Linked DNA regions of Mus musculus. The main gene of each other region encodes a partner of the protein of the gene in region 2 in a complex. Links are inferred from orthologs where the notes say so. Each region holds a gene or a part of one and is shown on either strand. Other genes may lie near its edges.

Evidence for each region.
Region 1: Eif3g (region 2) and Eif3f share a complex: the UniProt entries of both Homo sapiens proteins name them as parts of the eukaryotic translation initiation factor 3 (eIF-3) complex. The link is inferred for Mus musculus from reciprocal best matches to the Homo sapiens genes EIF3G and EIF3F.

The regions. Positions count from the first base shown.
Region 1 is NC_000073.6:108,936,697-108,940,594, forward strand, and holds part of Eif3f (eukaryotic translation initiation factor 3 subunit F), read left to right. Parts: intron 1-1,049; coding exon 1,050-1,120; intron 1,121-1,339; coding exon 1,340-1,419; intron 1,420-1,712; coding exon 1,713-1,850; intron 1,851-3,493; coding exon 3,494-3,585; intron 3,586-3,898. UniProt on the Homo sapiens protein: Component of the eukaryotic translation initiation factor 3 (eIF-3) complex, which is required for several steps in the initiation of protein synthesis.
Region 2 is NC_000075.6:20,895,389-20,900,895, forward strand, and holds the start of Eif3g (eukaryotic translation initiation factor 3 subunit G), read right to left. Parts: upstream 3,203-5,507; 5' UTR 3,176-3,202; coding exon 3,156-3,175; intron 3,037-3,155; coding exon 2,990-3,036; intron 2,780-2,989; coding exon 2,696-2,779; intron 2,589-2,695; coding exon 2,500-2,588; intron 2,379-2,499; coding exon 2,319-2,378; intron 833-2,318; coding exon 728-832; intron 630-727; coding exon 440-629; intron 1-439. UniProt on the Homo sapiens protein: RNA-binding component of the eukaryotic translation initiation factor 3 (eIF-3) complex, which is required for several steps in the initiation of protein synthesis.

The DNA.
Region 1 (3,898 bases), on a different chromosome or scaffold from region 2:
AGCATGGCAGCATCCAGGCGGGCATGGCACTGGAGAAGGAGCTGAGAGTTCCATGTCTTATTCAAGGGAACCCAGAAGAAGACTGGGCTTCGTCCCACCCGGCTAGAAGGAGGGTCTCAAAGCCCACTCCCACAGTGGCACACCTAGTCCAACAAGGCCATACCTCCTGTTAGCACCACTCTCTGGGCCAAGCATATTCAAACCACCACATAGTTCAGAAAATGAAACCATAACGCTAGCCAACAAAAGACAACACTAGCAGAGACATGTTACAAGGGGTAGGGGGTGAGGAACTTAAAGGAAGGTACCAGGACATCAAGTGAGAATAGTTGGGACCTATGGCTCAGTGAGATCCAGTAACTAATGTGAGAGTTAGGGGTGTGAGAGGAAGTCTGGTAAGAAAACCTCTGGGGGTGGAATGACCCTTTCACAGAAGATCATCAGAAAACACAAGTATTTCAATTACATTTATAACAGTAGCAAAATTGTAGTTATGAATTATCAATGAAAATAATTTTATGGTTAAGGGTTACCACAACATGATGGTCACAGCATTAAAAGATTAAAAACTACTACTCTAGAAAGTACAGAGTATTGTGGGGAAGGGCTGGTAGGGGGAAATAGCAGGCAAAGGAGACCTTGCAAAGGAAGGCTTAATCGTGTCTGGTGATGGAAAGGGGGGGGGGGTCTCTGAGTTTGAGTTCTGGAAAATACTAGTTCTGTTGATGCTGGACTTGGGGCTAATGTGTTGGCTTCGTGTTTGCTGACTTTGAGGCCATCTCCAAAAGCAGGACCTGGAGAAACAGCTTAGTTATAGACCACTTGCCTATCGTGCATAAAGCCCTGAATTCACTCTCCAGCACCACAGGAGCCAGGTGTGGTGATGCGTACCTGTGATCCTAGCATGGGGCTGTTGGAGACAGGAGGCTCAGGAGTTCTTGTTCCTCTTTAGTTAGAAAGGGCCCTGACCCTGGGGGATTGGGTAGTCAGGGGCCATGGGCTTTGAGTTCTCAGGATTATGTAACGCCTGGCTCTTCTCTCTTTACCAGGAACTGTTGACAAGCACTCGGTAGAAGTCACCAACTGCTTTTCGGTGCCACACAATGAGTCAGAAGATGAAGTGAGTTGAGAGGATTTAAGCAGCCCCTGTATAGTTCACAGCCATTCAACCCCTAACTTCCCCGAAGGCCCCACTGTGCTGTGTCTGTAGCCAGAGCTGCAGCTGAAGCTCTGCTTTCCCTGTCCACATTGGGCCTCCTCAGGTGGTGGGGGTTGGTAATTTTTCCTATTCAGCATATACTTGTAGCTTCTTAACCTCCTCTCCTGCCTTCCCCCTTAGGTGGCTGTTGACATGGAATTTGCTAAGAATATGTATGAATTACATAAAAAAGTCTCCCCAAATGAGCTCATCCTAGGCTGGTAAGATGGCGCGGGTGGGAGTGGATAGAGGGTCTCATTGTCATCAGACTAGATCTCGTCTCCCCTTTCAGACATAGAACATATAAAGCATGTGACCTCGAGAGCCTATGAGATTTTGATGATAACTTGATCCTAGAAAGTCAAGAATATTTATTTTCAATTACAACTTTGTTATGCAGTTTTTCATATTGTTAATTACTGCTAAAATGGGTGTGAGAACCCCGGCAACACCCGCTGCGCTGTTGCATTTGGTATTGGTGTCAGCTGCCCTGCGTCTATGATTGCTGTTGCAGGTATGCCACAGGCCATGACATCACAGAACACTCAGTGCTGATCCATGAGTACTACAGCAGGGAGGCCCCGAACCCCATTCACCTCACGGTGGACACAGGTCTCCAGCATGGGCGCATGAGCATCAAGGCCTATGTCAGGTGAGCCCTGGGCACGCTCAGGTCTAATCCTGCCGCTTAGTTTCTCTTCAGGAACTTTATTCCTCTTTTAACAGCTGTCATTAGAGAAGTTTCTAAAGTGAAGTCGGACCCCATAACTCACACTCACTCACTGGTCCTGCTTACACTGGAGTATTTGTTGTTTGGAACCATTCCAAATGGAAGTGCCTTTAGCATCATCTTCTGGAACAGTTAACCCACACATGATGTGTTTATCAGGTTCTTCTGAGCCTGTATTTGTTGCTTTTCTGAATTATCATTAGTTTTTCATTGTCTTGGTTTGCGTTCTGTTTTGTTTTGTTTTGTTTTGTTTTGTTTTTGGAGACAGGGTTTCTCTGTATAGCCCAGACTGACCTGGAACTCACTCAGTAGACCAGGCTGGCCTCGGACCAGGCTCCGCCTCCCAAGTGCTGGGATTAAAAGCATGCACCACCACTGCACAGCTTGGTTTGCTCTCTATTACTGTGATAAAACACAGACCAACACCAACTTGGGAAGGAGAAGGCTTATGTCAGCCTACAGATCCCAGTCTACATTGGGGGAAGTCAGGGCGGGAGCCTGGAGCAGAACCATGGTGATGCTGCACGTACCTCTGTGCTCCCCTGGCTTGCTCAGACTGCTTTCTAATTCCACTTAGGACCACCTACCCAGGGGTGGTACACCCACATCGGTCAAGAAAATGCCTCACAGACTTGCCTGTAGGCCAATCCAACAGAGGAATCGCCTAGCTTATGTCAAGCTACTACAAACCCTAGTTAGTGCATTCATTATTCCTAGGACTAAGCACAGTATTTATAGACTAGAAGATGCTAGCATTGTTGGGAACACATCTTTTAAGCTAGAAATAAGTATACTTTTGAACAGTAACATAGCAGTGTTGATACATAAAACTTGCTGCCAGCTACACCACCATTTGTCAGGGCTTGCTGGGGAAGGCTTTAGCATCTGAGGAAAGAAGAGCTTATTACTATAACTTGAGCCTATTACTGTGCACTGGGCCCTTACCTTCATGTCCTTGCTAGTCTCTACAAATTCATTTTCTTCAAAATCCAGATGAAAATGCAGGGTTGAAATAAGCACAATTTTATTGAGTTACTTCTAGCGCCCAATCTAGTGGTTTGGGACATGAATTAGTTTGGCGTTTTCATGGTAATGAAAAGCGCAGGCCCGTGTGGTGGCGCACACCTTTGATCCCAGCACTTGGGAGGCAGAGGCAGGTGGATTTCTGAGTTCGAGGCCACCCTGGTCTACAGCGTGAGTTCCAGGACAACCAAGGCTACACAGAGAAACCCTGTCTCGAAAAAGACAAAAAAAAAGAAAGAAAAGCAAAAGCACAGGCCCAGAAAAGAATGTTCTGGTGTGTCTGGTTTCCCTGGAAATGGGAGTGTCTGGCCAGCCAGGAGCATCCAGAGTCCTGTCATCCTCACTGGCATTATGGTGTGTGAAGTCATCCTGTACCTTTCCAAGCCAAAGAGGAAAAGGAAAGTTTGCTCACAAGATAACTCTGGGACAGTCCCGGCCTTCTCAAGAGGAAGACACTAACTTTGACTGCTTTCCCAGCCTAGTCTACACAAGGAAACTGCTCCCAGGGGCGATGGTCGATTAATTTTCTCCTTCTTCCCCAGCACTTTAATGGGTGTCCCTGGGAGGACCATGGGAGTGATGTTCACACCTCTCACAGTGAAGTACGCGTATTATGACACTGAACGCATTGGAGGTGAGTTTCCTTCCCTGCTGTACACACTTGGAGACCCTAGGATTATTCAAGAGAGGAGCTGTTTCTGACAAAGATGGAAGCCCTGGGTAGCTTAAAGAACACACTCAAGGTTCATGCTGACTGAAAGTTGAAGGTTTGTTCAGGGTGGGGAATTGTCAGTGTCCCGGGCCATATAGTCATCCATATGAGGCCAGAACCAATAGTTAGCAAGCAGGTAGTCAGTCAGGGAGAGCAGGGATTTTGGGGAACTGACTGCTTCCAGAAGGCATGGAGGGAGTTAGTAGGTGGCTAGAGACCTCTTTCCTCTTGTCAT
Region 2 (5,507 bases):
ACCACCAGCCCGGCAGCATCCCGACTACAGGCACACAACAGTGAGGATGTCCCTAGGCCACTCATCCATGACAGTGAGAAGCAAAGTTCCATACAAGTCACAAGAGGCAGCCACCCCCACAGGACACATTAGATTATGGCCACACTGAGCCCAGCACATACATGGTGGATGTTGCCTGAGTATATACGTGTATACACACACACACACACACTGCGTATATATGTACACACACACACACACACATACACACACACACACACAGAGTATATATGTACACGCACGCATGCACGCACGCATACCCAAGTTAGAGTAAGCTATCAGTCACACATCAGGATGACCATGCCCGAAGCCACTCAAACTTGGCCACAGGTAATGCAGGGAAGAGAAGAGCACACTACCACAGAACAGCTGAGACCCTCCCAGGTCCCCACGTCCACACCTCCTGGCAGTTTCTCCTTCTCCCCAGTAGACAGGCCGAGCTGCTCAGCCAGCTCCTTCTGCATGGGTCCTAGTGTGTCCTTGTAGGGGCAACGGGTGGTCCAATGGTCGCCCTTGCAAATGCGGCAGGACACAATCTTCTGGCCCTTAAGCTTGTTCATTGGGTCCTCCTCCTCCTGACAGTTTAGGTCCTGGTGGGGTATAGGGAGGGAAGGCTCAGAGGAGGCTGCTGGGCCCGGCCCACACCACCCCCACTGCATTTCTCAGGCTCCAGCTTCACCCAGCTCACCTCTTTGCTAGTGATGAATGTCATAGAGACGTCATCACTGACTGTGGTAGTGGCCACATTGGGCCCCGGTGGGTCAAACTCCGAGTTGCCAAACTTCTTCCAATTCTGGGCTCCCAGAAAACAATGGGGAGAAGTGAGGAAAAGACAGGAAGGATCCTGCAGTGGGTACCCCAGACAGACAACCATTCCGGGGCCTTGAATCCGAAGATCTAGTCTCTCTAGAGGCCTTCCCTGTGGTAATGGTGACAATCCCCATTCCCTAAGCTAAACACAGTGGCACACAACTGTCACCCCAACACTTGCCAGGTGCAAACAGGAGGACCTCAAGACACGCAAGCTCAAAACCAGCCTGAGTTATCTGAGGTAGGTGCTGGTAAGGTAGCTCGTGTGAAAACGTGCAGTACACTTTCTAACACTCATATAAAAGGTTAAGTACATGCTGGGCATGGTGGCGCACGCTTTTAATCCCAGCCCTTGGGAGGGAGGCAGAGGCAGGCAGATTTCTGAGTTCGAGGCCAGCCTGGTCTACAGAGTGAGTTCCAGGACAGCTAGGGCTATACAGAGAAACCCTGTCTTGAGAAAAAAAAAAAAAAAAAAGGTTGAGTACAGGGCTCCACTGTGCCGCTGGCAGTTTCTGGGCTGCTCCATGGCCAGCCTCCCACCAGGGACAAAGGAGGAATCACCCAGACCTTAGGAACCGAGCCAGTTAAACCTGAAACTCATTTCCTGCCTGTAAAACAGGGGCCACAAAGCTCCCTGCCTCCCTAAGCTGGCCTGGAGCCTGAGAAGCTGTGTCTTGCTGAACGCTGGCACGGGACCTTGCTCTCAAGCGTCGCTGTCCCTCCTCTACAAGCCCTCCCCCCTAGGTAAGTAGAGGCTGCTTGCTTCTTCATGTAGACAGGTCAAAGGAGAGAGAATGGAGGTCAGGATGCAGGAGGCTGAGGCAGAAGCATTTAGAATGAAGACCAGAGCTAGAGCCTCTCAAAAATAACAAGCCAGCAAATGGTGGCAATGCCTTTAATCCTAATGCATGTGGATCTATGAGTTCAAGGTCAGCCTAGACCACAGAGTGAGTTCAGAACAGCTAGGGCTACACAGAGAAACCCTGTCTGGAAAAACAAACTACAAACAATAAAACCCAAGAGGGCTGGGTATGTCTCAGTACAGTGTCTGTCACACAAGTGTCCGTCAGACTCTGACCCCGAGCACCCACAGTCAAACACTGTGCACAGAGGCAAACTTGCATTCCCGGTGCAGGCCAGACAGGAAGTGGGGACAGCAGGGTCCCTGGGGCTGTTAGTGCCCAGCAAGCCTAGTCTAGTTCCTAATACCGAGAGACCAGCTCAAACCAAAAGTATGCTGTGCCATGTGCTGGGGGGGATGATGCTGCGCACATCCGCACACAAAAGGAGAACAATAAAAAAACAAAAGTAAATGAATAAATAAAGCATCTAACTTCATCTACTCCTGGGCCCTAACCTTTCAAGGCCTAACACTAAACGTTTACTCCACATCAACAAAAAGGGGCTTCCCAACTCCTCAGGATCAGCCCCAGAGAACACCCTACCCCCCAAATGAGGTAGAATCTCACCTTCCTCCTTGCCACAGCCTTTGATGCCTTCCGGGTCTCAATCCTGAAGGTTCTGACAATCTGAAGATGAATAAGAGAGGAGTGCTTCCAGAGCCTCAGGCCCTGTCTCAGCCACTGACACCCCTCCACCTGAACCCCTGAACACAAAGGCACTGGCCCTATGTGTCCACTTCGACCTCACCTTGAATTTCTTCCCATCTTCCTCTATCTTGTACTCAGTCACTGTCTTTATGTTCCCATTGATGACTTCCTTGGGAGGTGGCAGCGGGTCTGGAGGAAGATGACAGAAACTGATTCCCGGGTAATGGGGACTGGCTGGAAAGTAGGCTTGAGAGTCGGAAGGGAAGAGGAAGCAGGCAGGGATGGACACTGCTCACCTCCGGGCAGTAACTCGGGCTCTGGACTGGTGTCCCCGGTGGGCAGAGGGATTCCTTTCAGGAGCTCGCTGGTGACACATTTGTCTGCCAGAGGGAATTCGGGGAGGAAGGTAGAGTGAGCCACGGGACGGGAACTTTCAAGTCAGAGAGAGAGTGTGTGTGTGTGTGTGTTGTGTGTTTGCGGGTTGCACCGGGGGCACAGCGCAGGGCGAGGGTGGGGCTGGCCACGCGCGGCCCTAGCCGGAGCGTGGGCCCCGGGAACAGGCAGCGGGCGCGGCCACGCTCGGCACTCACCGTCCTCTCCCTCCTCCTCCACCTGGTCGGCCCAGCTGGGCTTCGAGCTGCGGGGACAGGAGATTGGTGAGCGGGTCCCGGCCCCCCGCGCCGCCCAGACCCCCACGCACCCCAGAGCAGCCCCCACGCGGCCTCCCCGGCGACCCCATCGCCACCCCACGCATACTCAAAGTCGCCAGTCGGCATCTCGAAGTCTTAACTCCACGCAGCTCCCAGCCCGGGTAAAGACAGGAAGCCGGAGTAGAAGAGGCTTCCGGTGCCGCGGCCGCAGCCTAGAGCGGCCAGACCGCGGTGAGCACAGCGCCTCCCTGCGGACAAAGGTGGACACGCGGCTCTCGCGCACCGCAAAGCGCTGAGATCCAACCTGGAAAAGGGGTCCAAAAAAAAGCTTCAAAGAACTTTTTAAACTTTTTTTTTCCCCCTTTGGGTAATGGGGCTAGACGTGAGTGTCTCACTCTATAGATAGGATAGCCTCACAATCCTGTCTCAACTCCAAAAGGCTGAAAGTACAGGCTCACGAGCAGTATTCCCAGGGTGGCCTTGAATTCATAGCTGTCTTTCCACCTTACTCTCGTCCGTGCTGGGAATATGAACATGAAATCGCCACACCCGGAACTGATTCGTTCTCTCCCTCTTCCCGGAGAATTAGTTTTCAGCCATCAGTAATCGCAGTGCTGGAGGTGGAAGCTGGAAAATTATGAGTTAAAGGCCATTTTCAGCTACCTCGTGGATTCCAGACTAGCCTGCGCTCCATGCGACTCTGTCTCCAAAACTAAAGGTGTCTTGCTTTGTTCCCCAGGCTTGCCCCTGAACTCCTAAACGCAAGGAATTCACAAATAGCTGGGGCTATAATTGTGTGCCAACAAGCTTGGCTGAAAAGCACGTGTATCAAGAATGCCCTCGCCCCACATCGTTTAGAGGATACCAGGATTCTGGTTTGTTGAAGAAGAAACAGACTCAGACCAAACCCTTTTGTCCTGTGCTAAGACGTCCTTTCTTTGAATAAGAGGCCACCTGGTCTCCTGTGCCTCCTTTGCTGTGTAGCATGCTAGGGTTTATCCTACAACCTTGTTGTGCGTTTGTATTATTTGAAGACAGCATGCTTGTGCATACATAGCACACATGGAGGTCAGGGGACACTTTGCAGACAGTCTCTCCTTCCACTATGTGGGTCTTGGGATTGATCTCAGGCCTTCAGGCTTGGCAGCCAGCCTCCTGCTGTGGTCCAGGAGTCCCCTCACAGACCACACGAGCCCCAGTCTCAGTCAGAGAGAGGCACTTTATTGAGCATACATGTCAGGACTGGTTAACCAGGGCCACAGTCCAGATTCAGGACCTGAACTGTGACCCTGACTTAAGATCCTGCAGGGTTTTTAAGCCTCAAATCCACAAACATCTGGGCCAAGTCACATCACCAATCAGGATTCAGAAATGGGGGGTTTACCTGGGAACATGGTTTTGCCTTACACGTATCCTGCTCCCATTGGTTGGGTATTCAACGGTGGCAAGAGACTTTCCTTGTTGAACATTCATGTCTCAATGTGCCAACCAGGTTGTCAGTTACCCACGCACATGTCTTTCTGCCAAGTAGGATGCCAGTTTCCAGGGAGGTCTTGGGAACTTAAACTTTACTCAGTCATTACTCAAAATGGAAGTCTTATTCCAAAGGGTTTCTTATATTGGTGCAGTTCTCTCTCTCATCTATTTATTTTATTTATATAAACTTGAGCTGTCTGAAGACACACCAGAAGAGGGCATCAAATCCTATTACAGATGGTTGTGAGCCACCATGTGGTTGCTGGGAATTGAACTCAGGACCTCTAGAAGAGCTCTTAACCACTGAGCCATCTCTCCAGGCCAGAGATTTCTCTCTTATGTTGGAGTCCATCCCAGGGACAGCTTATACAGACAAATACCATAAAAATTTATATATGGCTAGTAAGTGCTGCTGGGTGGTTGGTTCAGGTCAAAGCTTATTATGGGTAACTATTCAAAAAAGTTCTACTAACTTCTATCATGATTGGTTTCCAAGGGCACAGGGCATAACAGAATATGTAATCAGTTTTGGCATTAGAAAGTTTCCTAGTAACAGCAGAAACATATGAGAAAGTTTCCTTATAATGGTAGGCTAGCCAAGTAGGCTACCTAGGCCTTGACATTTTATCTAGGCCTTAATATTTTACCTAGGTCCCAGTACCTCCTTAGCTGCAAAAACGTTGCAAGCTCTATTCCTGCCACCTTAAACTCTCTCCAGTGCTAAGCTCCTGTCAAGTAAGTGGAGGTTATATCAGATTCTCTGCCGTAGGAACATCCACTCCAAGTCCATGTGTCTGTTTGGGATGCTGGTGGGGAACGGAAAGCAGGGAGTTGGGCACACTAATACTGACCTATACTCCTAACACTTAGAACTTGTATCTTAAGCTGGCAAGATGGCTCAGTGGGTGAAGGCACTCTCCACAAGCCTGCTGCCTGGAGTTCAACCCTAGGACCCATCTGAGGGAAGGAGAGGACTAACTCT